Linked DNA regions of Sus scrofa. The protein of the gene in region 2 interacts with the protein of the main gene of each other region in a pairwise test. Links are inferred from orthologs where the notes say so. Each region holds a gene or a part of one and is shown on either strand. Other genes may lie near its edges.

Region 1 (4,267 bases), on a different chromosome or scaffold from region 2:
GGATCCTGCGTTGCTGTGGCTCTGACGTAGGCTGGTGGCTGCAGCTCCGATTGGACCCCTAGCCTGGGAACCTCCATATGCCACAGGTAAGGCCCTAAAATGACAAAAGACAACAACAACAACAACAAAATAATTGCGATTATCCCCCCAATCCTAAGATCATATCCTTCACTATTAAAAATAAAACAATAAATGGAGAGTGTTGTTTTGGATTCTTCCCTGACCCACTAGCTAAATGGATGAAAAAAAATCCCATTTTTTGCCCAAAAATTTATCGATTACTTTGGGACACTAGCTAGTGTTCCCGAAAATCAGCCTACATTCCTTCTACCTTTCCCACTCTTATCTCCCCTCAATCAACACAACCCACCTGAAGAAGTTTCTAGAACCTCCTGGTCATTAGATACAAACTTAAACATTACCCACTGCACTTCAGTGTCTACAAAATAAAATCCAGATGCTGGCATTCTAAAGTCCTCCAAAATCTGATCCCCTGTAGGGTAATTACATAAGCCTTTTCAGCTTTTAAAAGTCTCCTACTAACCTCTCAATTTTTCTTTTATAAGCGGTTTTTTTTTTTCTGGTAACAGAACAAATGGGCCTTAAAGTCTCAGATTCTAAGACATAAATGAGAATAAATATAATAATTTTCAGTCATTACCTGCAAATGCTCTTTTTTTAATGCCTTCATCCCCAACACCTGGTCAAGTTTTGCTATTAATCTGTGTCATCCAAAAAACAAACAAGGTATCCTTACACCTAAATCCTTACTAAACTTGAACTGTTCAGAGGCCAGCTCTCTCTCTCTGTGGAGCCTTTTTGGCCATTTTCCTACAGTAACTAACACCACTAGAGGGCAGCAGAGCAGAGAAGTTGAAACAGTCATTTTTGCTATTAACTACTTAGCAGTTACTAAGATTAACTGACAAAAAGAGATGGAGCTGAAAGTGCAAAAATGCAGTAAGAGAAAAGTTTTAACTTCTAACTCATACCCACAAGTGAAAAGATAACTGGCATAAACAACCTAAGTTCAATAGCTGCTTCCATGGTCTATCAGGTGACTAACCAGAGGGCAGGTATCTGCCTCTCACTCACATATACTGGGAATGCCCCACGCCCACACACAGGCAGGTGTTCTAGCTATTGTAGGATCAGAGATCTCAGCACTACACATTCCAGAAACTACTACAAGATGCTAGCATCTAGTTTTGCCATTTTGTTGCTGTAAACCTTGGGCAGGGCACTTAATTTCTGCGCCTCGGTTTCTTCATCTGTAGAACAGGGAGGTGGTATGAAAACTGAATAACGTAAACAAAAAGCACAGTTTAGACCAATGCCTGGAACAGAGGAAGGACTCGATACATATTATTAAAGGAACGAGTTCTGTTAACAGCAAAGATTATAATCTTTTCCTCCCAATCGTCGCTGTAAGTACAGAAAAACAAGATTAACTTGAATTATGAGTCAGGCTTTAAAAAATACTTTGCCAAATCCATATTTTATTTCAAAGCATGAGTCTTCATACAATAAATTTTCTTTTAATGCCTGGGGGGGGGGGAATTCCCTGTACTTAAAAACAGGGAAGGCCTGGCACCTAAAGAGTCTTAAATGCTATTATTCTTAAGATCTTAAATTTCTCGGCTTCTAGTTAAAAATGTTATCAAGTTATGAAATGATTACCAGGTATGAAGCAGACCCTGCGATCGGAAGTCCAAACTTTTGGTAACTGGGCACACCTTTATTTGTGCCTGACACGGTTCGCTTCGCGACCTCTGCTTACCCCGATGCTACCCCATCCTTGGGGGTTAACGTCAACCCACCCCGCTTTGCCCGAAGACTTGACCGCACTTGAGGGTGTGATGCCCGGAGGAACCAGGGTGGACCCCGGGGGCTGAAACGCTAGGGAAAAGGAAACCGCTTCCCACTGGACAGAGCAAAGGGGGGATCCACGGCCTGGGAGCGCGGCGACCAGAGTGAGGCCAGGCCCAGGAGGAGGTGCAGGGGGCGAGGGCAGCGGGACGAGCGCCGAGAGGAATCGCTGGGAAACAGACCGAGAAGGCTTGGCCCGGGCCGCCCCTGCCCGCGCCGCCGCCTGCCTCCGCCGGGGCCACGGGGGCCCCGCTCCCGGGCGGGCCTTAACGCACGTCGGTCACCGCAGCGCCGACGGTCAGCTCCGAGCCCGGCTGGACAAACACCCCGATCGCGTCGCTGCCGACACCCCGCCCCCCCCGCCCCGGTCGCACCCCCGCGCCCCTCCCCCAGCCGGGACCCCGCACCCGGCTCCCCCTCCCAGACCCGAGTCCCGCACCCCGAGCCCGGGTTCCTCCCCCCAGACCCCGGCCTCTGCGCCCGGCCGCCCCCCCTCCCCTTCCGCGCCGCCCGCCCGCCTCTCACCTCCCCGGCGGCCGCCGCAGCCCTCGCCGGGTTGTGGGCGCCGCGAGGCCCGGCCGCGCAGCGGCGATCAGGTGCGAGGGCGCTGCCGCGGCGTTCGGCTCTGAGGCGGCGCGCGGTCGCTTCCGGTGCGCGGAGAGCCTCGAAGGATTCGGTGGTCCGCACGCCCTGAGTCGCCAACACCATGTCCCTCGGGGGCCTCACCCCTCTGTGTTCGGCAGGGATGGGGACAGCCGTCCGTTCAGTCAGAGGCCGCTGAGGGAACAGCGCCCAACACACCCCAGGCCGCCATTTTGTAACTCGAATCTACCCCTCAAAACCAATTCGGAAAAAAGAAGGAAAGAAACGCCCGCGTCGAGCTACTGCGCACGCGCGCCGGAGCCTTGCCTCGCCGCACCTCCCCCAGCGGGCAAAGGGCGTCACGCTGCGCATGCGCCCAGCTGCTTCGAAACCGTCGACCGAGAAACGCACCCGTCTCACGCATGTGCGCGCGCATGCGCACACCCCATGCGCCGGCCTCGCGGGAAGCCGGCAGCGGCGGCCGGGGTTTGCGGGCGTTGGTCACGTGTCGCCCGTCGCCGGCGTTTGAGGCGTTGGGCGCGGGTTGCTTCCGTGGCTGGGCGCGGCTGACATCTGCAAGGCGCCGGGGAGAATGGGGTCAGGCAGGCATCGTGGCCGGGGCTCGTGATGGAAGGCTGACAAGAGACAGGCCATGACTCCCGCAGGCGTGAGTGGACGCCGGTAGAGGCACGACGGGAGCTCGGCGCCGCCGTCCGTCTGCGAGAGCTCCCCGGGTGGCCTTGCCCGGTGGCCGGCAACGTGCCCGCCCGCTGCGGATGCTCGGAAGGCCTGGGATCGCAGAGCCGGGAGGGACGGGCGTGGGCGAGAAGAATGTCACCCCGTTCGTCGCCGTTCTGCGGCCAACTTGTGCTTGTTTTCCGCGGTGGGTGTCATAGAGGCGAAGTGACACCTAATGGGGGTCAATGAAGACGAAATCTGCAAACGCGTTTTTATTTTTAAAAAATTAAAAAAAACTTTTTTAGGGCCGCACCTGCGCCATAGGGAGGTTCCCAGGCTGGGGGGGATTCGGAGCTGCAGCTGCTGACCTACCCCACAGCCACAGCAAAGCGGGGTTAGAGCCGCGTCTGCGACCTACACCGCAGCTCACGGCAACGCCGGATCCTTAACCTACTGAGCAAGGCCGGGACTGAACCTGTGTCCTCCTGGCTGCTAGTCAGATTTGTTTCCTCTAAGCCTAAACGGGAACTTCTGCAAACGCGTTTTTAAATTGTGGGACTAATTCGTGTGTACGGTTCCGGAGTTGTATCGATGCGATTTTGTTTGAGCTGTTCAGCATCTCAAATACCACGGTGTAGTATTTCAAACGGTACAGTGGTGGGTTAAGCTGTACAAAGCAATTCAGTTTTAACTCCTTGCCTAGTGGTTAATAGACACAGTTGGAATTAGACCCATGATTACTTTAGGAAAGTTGCTTTAAAAAAAGAACATTCCCTTTTTGGGGGAGCACCTGCTGCATTCGGAAGTTCCTAGCCAGGGATGGGACCAGAGACCAGAGTCACAGCAGTGACAATGCGGAGTCCTTAACTGCTAAGCGACCAGGGAACTCCCGGAAGAGGAACATTCTTAGAGCAGCGGTTCTTAACCCCCTTCTTTTTTTTTTTTTTTTTTTCTTTTTTCAGAGAGAGCTTTATTGCTATACTTGAAAATGCAAACAAAGTTTGTGCATGCATTCAGGTAGGAAACCAGTGCGTGTAATTTCAGGGTGTTTATGAACCCTCCCCAAAAGCCTATTCAGGGACTCCTGTTAAAGACTGTTTATCTGGATACTAGACTATACATTATAAGAGTTAACAAA
Region 2 (3,604 bases):
GAGAACCATAAAACCTCTAAGAAATTTTAAAACAAAGACATGCAAACTTGACAGAAAGGCATTTCAAGAGCTGTGAACTATTTTGACAGGAATTCACAAGAATCAGTAAAAGAAAATATTTATAATTTCTGCTATAAGCCCAACCTGGACAAGGCCAATCCCACTATAAGAAGGAGAGAAATCATTGATTTTATAAAAAGAAGATACTACATTAGAAAAAAAATAGAATACTCTGAGGAATTAGGACAAATGAAGATAAAATCTTACAACAAAAGAATTAAATAATAGGGAAGTTGGGATATTAAAAACTGGTTGCAAACTAATATTCTTAAATAGAATTAAATCTAAATTAATTCTGTTAATTAGTTATAATAATGCATATACCAAAAGAAACCTTGAAAGAGAATGTGATAAAATGAAAAATTAACGTTATTAGTAATACATTTAAATCATTTTTAAAATTACTTTTAAAAATTAATGTTTTATTTAAAAAATATTAATCTGGGAGTTCCCACTGTGATGCAGTGGGTTAAGAATCTGACTGCAGCAGCTTGGTCACTGTAGAGGTATGGGTTTGATCCCCAGTTGGCACACTGGGTTACCACAGCACAGGTCAGCAGCTGTGGCTCGGATTCGATCCCTGGCCTAGGAACTTCCACATGCTCTGGATGCAGCCATAAAAAAAAAATTAACGTGACCAAAAAAATAATCCAAATTAAAAACACAAAAACTGTGGATGGTCAGGAAGAGGAAACCATTCTTGATCATATAGGATTTCCTAACATTGCTAAGCTACTTCAGCTTGGAAGATAAGGGATGGAAAACAAAAGTTAAATGTACTTATGAAAAAGAAGTACAATAAGAAAGCAAAAGTAAAAGCCTTGTAATCTATGCTGACCTGAACACAACAGTTCTTTTACTCCTTATATGTTACTAGATATTGTCTCCCTTAGGAAGATAAGGTGGCTAGCCAAGGGCAATTTCAAAATCTTAATACAAGCAGATATAATTAAAATTACTAATCCTATAAATTCAATACATGAAAGACAAGATAGACTTAAGGATTATATTTTTGTTTAATAAGGAACTTTTATAAACTTAAATTAGATGATTAGATAAATTATAAATTAAAAAGGTCAATAATTGAAAATATTCAATTTAAGTACTCAAAAAGATGCCATACAATGTTACTATTATACAAACATTATTTTCTTTTTTAAAGATAATTATACTAGTAAGAATATAGTGAAATGGGCGTTCCCGTCATGGCACAGCAGAAACCAATCCAGCTAGGAACCATGAGGTTGCAGGTTCGATCCCTGGCCTCGCTCAGTAGGTTAAAAGGTCCAGCATTGCCAGTGAGCTGTGTTGTAGGTTGCAGATGAGGCTTGGATCTAGAGTTGCTGTGGCTCTGGCAGAGGCCAGCGGCTACAGCTCCAATTCGACCCCTAGCCTGGGAACCTCCATATGCCGCGGGTGTGGCTCTAAAAAGACAAAAAAAAAAAAAAAAGAATATAGTGAAATGAAATAAATACCTATACAAACTAAAGATGGGAGTATAAATTAATACACTGTTTATTCCCTTTGACCCATGATTTTACTTTTATAAACTCATACTAAGGAAGTTTTGGATTGTACAAGGATTTATGTAGCTTTGTTTATGATAATCAAAAACTGTGAAAAATGAAATATCTGATTAAATTATTTTACAGTCATGCTCTGATGTTATGCTGCCATTTTTTTTAATCTGAAAATTATTTCTAAAAGAATTAAGAATATGTATCTCTAATTTGTTTCTTGGCAGGGGGACTAATGATTTTTATATTTGCTTCTTTAAATTTTTTTTATATTTGTAGATACTCTACAATCAACATGTGTTACTTTGATAATGTTTTAAAAAAGATGTGATTTAAAAATACATTTTAGAGAAAAATTAACTACTGGCAAAGAAAAATGCCTTAAAATGAAAAAAATCTAACAAAACTCATAAATTCTTAACAATATCAAATAACCATAATGAAAATCAATCTTGCCTTTAGAAAGCAGCTTTCTAAATTTCTGTGTTGCTGTTAGCTGTTGATCAGCATTATTAGAAAAAATCATCTGAACCATATCTGTGGTAATAACTTCTTCCTAAAACACAGAAAATATAATTATTATTTAAATATTTTGTATTAGTAATTTTGCTGTATCACCATCTCTGAAATATTATTGAAATACAATTTTAAATACACTTTTGTAATATCTACCTCTGGAATGGGTACAGTGGAAGTGATATCTGGATCCTGGATAGGACTTTCTAACATAGATTCGTCACTTTTGGGCAAAGAGACATTTCTGCGTTTGAATAACTGTAAAAAAGAGAAATAACCTTATATGTTGAGCTTTCCATAAAACATAAATTCCTATAGAATTATATTTTCCTTTAAGTGAACAAAACAATAATCATATAACTAAAATTCTGAATATTTCAGTATTTTTTTTAATATTTCAATATTTCTTAATCATTATACCACGAACACCTAAATTATCTACGAGAAGTTAAACTTTCTGGGCTAGATTAGCTCTTGCCCTTTATTTCAGCTTTCGGTCATTCTTAATCTCAGATCTTTTACCAATGGCCAGTCCCATAAGCAGAACAACATTTAGATTTTACAACATTTTAAGAAGCACATATACCTATACTAGATTATAAAATGTTTAAAAATGTTTCCAAGAAAATCTTAATTAAAAAGCAAACTATTACATTAGTGAGTTAATGTGTACATTAACAGAGCTGGTAACAGATTAACAAAGAAGAGAATTCTCAGAAAAGATGTCCTGATGCTTATTAACTCAGGAATGAATAAAGGAAAAAAAAAAGAGGAGCAAAGAGTCTTGATCAGATCACTGGGGAAGATTTATAGATACATCTTGTACATCAAAATTGAGGGAAAAAATCTGATATCATATTCTTTTTCATAGCTAAGTAAGTTCTGTTGTTCCTCAGTCTATATACAGTTCTCTTTCTTTTTTCTTTTTGTCATTTTAGGGCCGCACCTGCAGCATACGGAGGTTCCTGGGAGGGGTTGAATCAGAGCTACAGCTGCCGGCCTACGCCACAGCAGCACCAGATCCGAGCCATGTCTGTGACCTAAACCACAGCTCACAGCAACACTGGATCCTTAACCCACTGAGCGAGGCCAGAGATCAAACCTGCGTCCTCATGAATACTAGTCAGATTCGTTTCTGCTTAGCCACGAAGGGAATTCCAACACAGTTCTCTTTCTAACCATTCATTCAAATGATTTTTTTTTTCCCCTGAGTTCTTAACTATAATAGAGAGTATACTCTATTATAGCATATAATTTGTCATCTAATATACCACAAATAGGGGGGTAACAAATCATAATCATATTTCTAAAACAGGCTTTTTTCTACTTTCTTCATTGTTAGCCTTTTTCACATGTAAGTTTTAATCCAGGTATGTGAGGAGCACAACCTCCTAACTATTTATGAATACCTCTAAATTTAAGTATTACTGGAAAAATGTTGAGATACACTCTTTTAAATGAGTTTTTTTCTATTCCTTACGTCATATCTACAAGGTTCAAACAGGGAAGTC
Region 3 (4,281 bases), about 190 Mb from region 2:
GCCCTGGCATGCTGTTGGCAAATATTTATTTAATAAAACCAGTGAATTACTGTAGAGCAGTACTGTCCAATACAGCAGCCCCTAATCATTTGGGACTTCTGAGTACTTGAAATGTGAATAGTGCAACTGGCAAAATGACCTTTTAATTTAAAAAGCCACATGACTAAAAACTGTTTTGGCAAAAGGGTAAGGCTTAAGTTGATTTCATGGGAAAAAAAATAAAAGGCCCAACGCACATAAATATGCATTTTAAAAATCAGTATTAGTTATTTCATGTGCGAAAAAATTCCATATACACCACCAGCTCAGTTGTATTTCTTCTCAGAGGGAGCCACAGAGCCCTTAGCCGAGTATTTTAATACTGTTCTACACACATTGCTAAAATCCAAATCCCAGATCTTAAGGCACTTTAAAGAACCATATACGTATTTTTCTTTTTGGAAACTCGGGTAAATTTAATTACTCACGTTCACCTGATTTGGACCTGAGCAGTAATAATTCAAATGTCTTAACTCTTCTCAAAATTAGGTTGCAAGTTTCAGTGTGAAGAGGCTTAAAGGTTCAATGTACTAGCACGTGGCCGACACAAAATGTCTGACTGATGGACGGAAGGGACGACCGCGGTCAAATCTCAACCTTAAAACTCAGGGGACAGAGTCGAGACGCCCACCACCAGAGGTCTTCCAGGGAGAGGTGGGAACACCAGATGCAGCAGGGCCGCACCTCATTTGTGGGGACCTCAGAGATTTAAAACCCCTGGCACACCAGGGAAAGCCTGCTTGACGAATTCCCACAAGTTGGCAACTTGTTACCCAACGCTACCTGACTGCCCGAAACGCGCCCGTCTCCAGTGTGGGGCGCAGGGGCGGGAGGGGGTGGTGAGGGCTTTCCCCGGGCCGCCCCTCTGCCAGGGGACGCCACTCACCCGCGGAGGGGTTCTGGCGGAGGCGCGGCCTCCCAGCGCTGGCGCCAGGAAACATGGCCCCGCGCCCTGCCGCGGGAAGCCGCTCTACTTCGCGGGGAGGGCGGGGTAGAGAATAAAGACGTGACTCTTCAAGGCCCACCAGCGACTCACGGAGCCGCGGCAGGCGAGCACCGGCCTGGATCTGCGGCTCTGAAGCACGTGCGGGGCAGCGCCCGCCCGGCAAGCAAGCACAGCCGAGGCCCGTCTGTACCCGCGACTAGGGGCGGAGGCGGCCGCCTGCCGTTGCCCTTTTAAGAAGGGGGGAGGGGGCGGCAGCGCGCCCGAAAGATGAGTCGGCGACGGCCGGAGCGCTCGGCTCCCGCCAGTGCGAGCCGAGCCCTGGCGAGGCCCGCGCCAAACAAACCGCAGGCTCGGCCAAGGGAGCGGCGGCTCAGAGCCACCGCCGGTGCGGGCGGGCAGGGCCGGACGGACAGAGCCCGCAGGCCGACTCACGCGGCGGAAGGAGACGGGTGCCCGCCAACATGGCGCTGCGTCGGCCTGTGGCGCGCCTGGGCTGACGCGAGGAGCCGCCGCCCGCCCACACCGAGGGGCCAACCTCCCGGGCAGGGGCCCCCGGGCTCCGCCGCCGCGGCGCGGGGGGGAGGGAGAAGCCGCTTACGCCACAACTGCTAGCTCGGGCCGAGCGCGGCCTGCATTTGGAGACCGGGACTGGGGAAGGCCTGGGGGTCGAAAGGGGCGCGAGAGATAGGTAGACAAAGTTTTATTTTTAGGCTTGAAAAATGGCGGGAACCGACTCCTTTTTTCAAACTTGGCCTCGGGAGGGGCGTCGGTTGCGCCACCTCCGCCACCCGGGCTCGCCCCTCCCCAGCTCGCGCGCGCCAGGCCGCGCCCGCCCAAGCCCCCCGGCGCCCGAGGGGGCTTCCTGTCCCCCTTGGAGGCAAAGAACCCTCTGTTCGTCCTTCCGCTCCCGTCCTGGCCGGACCGGCGCCAACCGCGAGACCTGGCTGGAGGAGCCTCCTGCTCCGCCCGAGCCCCCTCCCGGGCCGGCCGGGGGCACGCGGAGGCCGGCCTGGCCCGCAGCGGGCCCAGTCCGGACTGGCAGCGCGGCTCCTCCGTAGGCCCGGCCTCCGCCCGGCCGCGCATCTCGGGAGGCTGCAAACATGGCTCCCAGCGTTACACAACCCCCTCCTCCCTCTCTTGCCGCCGGCCACACGCACACGCGCTCCTTCGGGAAAGGACCCCGGCGGGCGAAGAGCTCAAAGTTTGCTTTCCCCCACCCCACCGCCTTCCCTGGACGGCCGCAGGGGCCCGCGGGCGCCAAAGAGTTAATCCCGCGCGCTCGCTCCCCCCTCCGCGCCCGCCCGCCTGCCCGCCCGCCTTTCCCGTCCGAGCCCGCGAGCTGCGCTCTTGCCCGCGCCGGGGTCGGCGAGCCCGCGTCTGGGACCCCGCAGGTGGCCACCATTACATGCAAGTCATCGGGGGGAGAGGGAGCCCGAAGGGGATTCTGCTTACAGCTGCCGGGGTCCGGTTCCTCAGCTCCAGGTGGATTCTCTTCTTCATGTCCATGTTTCCCTCTTCCCCCCTCTTCAAACTTAACTTTCCGCAACGGGGGCGGAGGGGGGAGAGGCTCCCAGCCTGCGCAGCGAGGGCCGTCGGAAGGGGTCTGCTCGAGGCAGAGGCCGGCGGCGCGGTCCGGGGCGGCTGGCGGCGTGCGGGCAGGAGAGCGGAGCCCCCGGAGCCAAGTTACTCACGGGAGCGGAGAGAAACCATGGAGGGAAAAGGGGGCTGGAGCGCAGCGCTGGTCTCACTACCGCCGCCCCCGGCCGCGGCTCCGCACTGCGCTTAAACCGGCGACGCGGCGCGGGTGGCTGCTCGGCTCGACTCGGCCCCGCGCGGCGCCGCTCGGCTCGGCAGCCGCGGTGCACCAAGGACGGGGCGGGGAGAGGCGCGGCGGGAGGGGCGGAGGCTGGGGGGGAAAAGGCGCAGCCCGGGGGACAGGAGTGGCTTCTTCCCGCCCTCCGGTCGCACGTGGGGTGGCTGATGTAAGACCCACCTCGGGGGCTTCCCCGCCCGTCCCCCAGCTGAGACCTTGGGTCTTTCCTCGACGCGCCTGGAGACAGGTCTCCAGCCCGCGCTTGGAAGTCGGCCGAGCGGGCTGCGGGGAGACTTTGCGGTCGGTCTTGGGAGCTCTCTAAGGCCAAGCCCTCGCGCCGAGCCTCGGCCAGGCCAACCCGACACCGGCGAAGGCGGCAGACTTGAGAGCGCGGGACCGGGGCTTTCGGGGTCACCTCCCGCTCCCCTCCAACTACAGCATGGGGCCAACAGCACGAGACCTGTGTTTCCTTGGCCAAGTGGGGCTGGAAGTGCTGTGAGGACCCCCGTTGGGGGGCAGAATCGCTGCCGGCCCGCGCTGTAGCGCGTGGCACTTGGCGGAGTCGGCCATTGAGACCGATGGGGACGGGGTAGCCCCGGCCGCTTGCTCAAACCGCAGAGATGCGAGCGTTCCAGAGTTCGGGAGAATCTCCCTGGGTTTTCTAACATTAAGTATAGGCTAGTGGAGGCAGTAATTAGCATTTCTAATGGAGCCTCGAAGTTTACCGAGGTTCCTCAAGACTTTTATCTCCTTTATTTTTAAGGGCACCCCTCTGAGGTGTGTGGATTCTTGTTGGTCTCCAATTCGGGGAAGCTTGGCAGGTAGCTTTTGTCATGGGCTGCCTCAAAAAGCTCCCTGAGAGACAGGGTTAGAGCACTAAGTCGGTTTTGCAGACCTCTGGGGAGTAATATGAAGTTACATTCATCTTAAAATAAGTACATAGTCACGTGTCAAATCAGATACCATCTTAATTCTAGTATAGAGAAGAAGCTCCAAGATTGAGAACAATTTAGGAATAGAGAAAAACAACTCTATGGCATTACCATAAGTTTTTCTTAAAGTTAAGACTCCTCTCTTTCACCTAAGTTCATTTAGTGGCAAACAAAACTATATCGATTTTTAAAATATCAGATGCATGAAAATGTCAAAGCAGAAAATTTTCAGGAGGGTTATGGAAAAAGGCAAAAACTTTCTAGTATGTAGTTCCCTTGTATTTTAAATGTTAGTCTTAGCAGACATTTTTGTGATGGGGAAATGGTGAGGGCAGTGCTCTTCAGGATGTCGCACGAGGTCTGTAACTAAGGTTATGAGAACCACAAGACTATGAGATGAAGGCTTTTACGAAAAACTAAACTTAGTTCCATGAGCTAACAAGCAATTCGTGTGCATCCACTTTTAGGGCTTAATATGTTCTTTCAGTCATTGCACAAATGAGGAACTGAAGCCATGGGGCCAACAATAGGTGGAGCTAGGGTTTAAACCC

What was found.
Region 1: the proteins of KPNA5 (region 2) and NUP50 interact in binary tests that used the Homo sapiens proteins (3 or more experiments, as listed by UniProt). The two-hybrid records come from large-scale screens. The link is inferred for Sus scrofa from reciprocal best matches to the Homo sapiens genes KPNA5 and NUP50.
Region 3: the proteins of KPNA5 (region 2) and ANP32B interact in binary tests that used the Homo sapiens proteins (3 or more experiments, as listed by UniProt). The two-hybrid records come from large-scale screens. The link is inferred for Sus scrofa from reciprocal best matches to the Homo sapiens genes KPNA5 and ANP32B.

The regions. Positions count from the first base shown.
Region 1 is NC_010447.5:4,216,538-4,220,804, forward strand, and holds the start of NUP50 (nuclear pore complex protein Nup50), read right to left. Parts: upstream 2,874-4,267; 5' UTR 2,395-2,873; intron 1-2,394. UniProt on the Homo sapiens protein: Component of the nuclear pore complex that has a direct role in nuclear protein import. Actively displaces NLSs from importin-alpha, and facilitates disassembly of the importin-alpha:beta-cargo complex and importin recycling.
Region 2 is NC_010443.5:44,931,144-44,934,747, forward strand, and holds part of KPNA5 (importin subunit alpha-6), read right to left. Parts: intron 2,352-3,604; coding exon 2,250-2,351; intron 2,134-2,249; coding exon 2,034-2,133; intron 1-2,033. UniProt on the Homo sapiens protein: Functions in nuclear protein import as an adapter protein for nuclear receptor KPNB1. Binds specifically and directly to substrates containing either a simple or bipartite NLS motif.
Region 3 is NC_010443.5:239,840,628-239,844,908, reverse strand, and holds the start of ANP32B (acidic leucine-rich nuclear phosphoprotein 32 family member B), read right to left. Parts: upstream 2,848-4,281; 5' UTR 2,492-2,847; coding exon 2,438-2,491; intron 1-2,437. UniProt on the Homo sapiens protein: Multifunctional protein that is involved in the regulation of many processes including cell proliferation, apoptosis, cell cycle progression or transcription.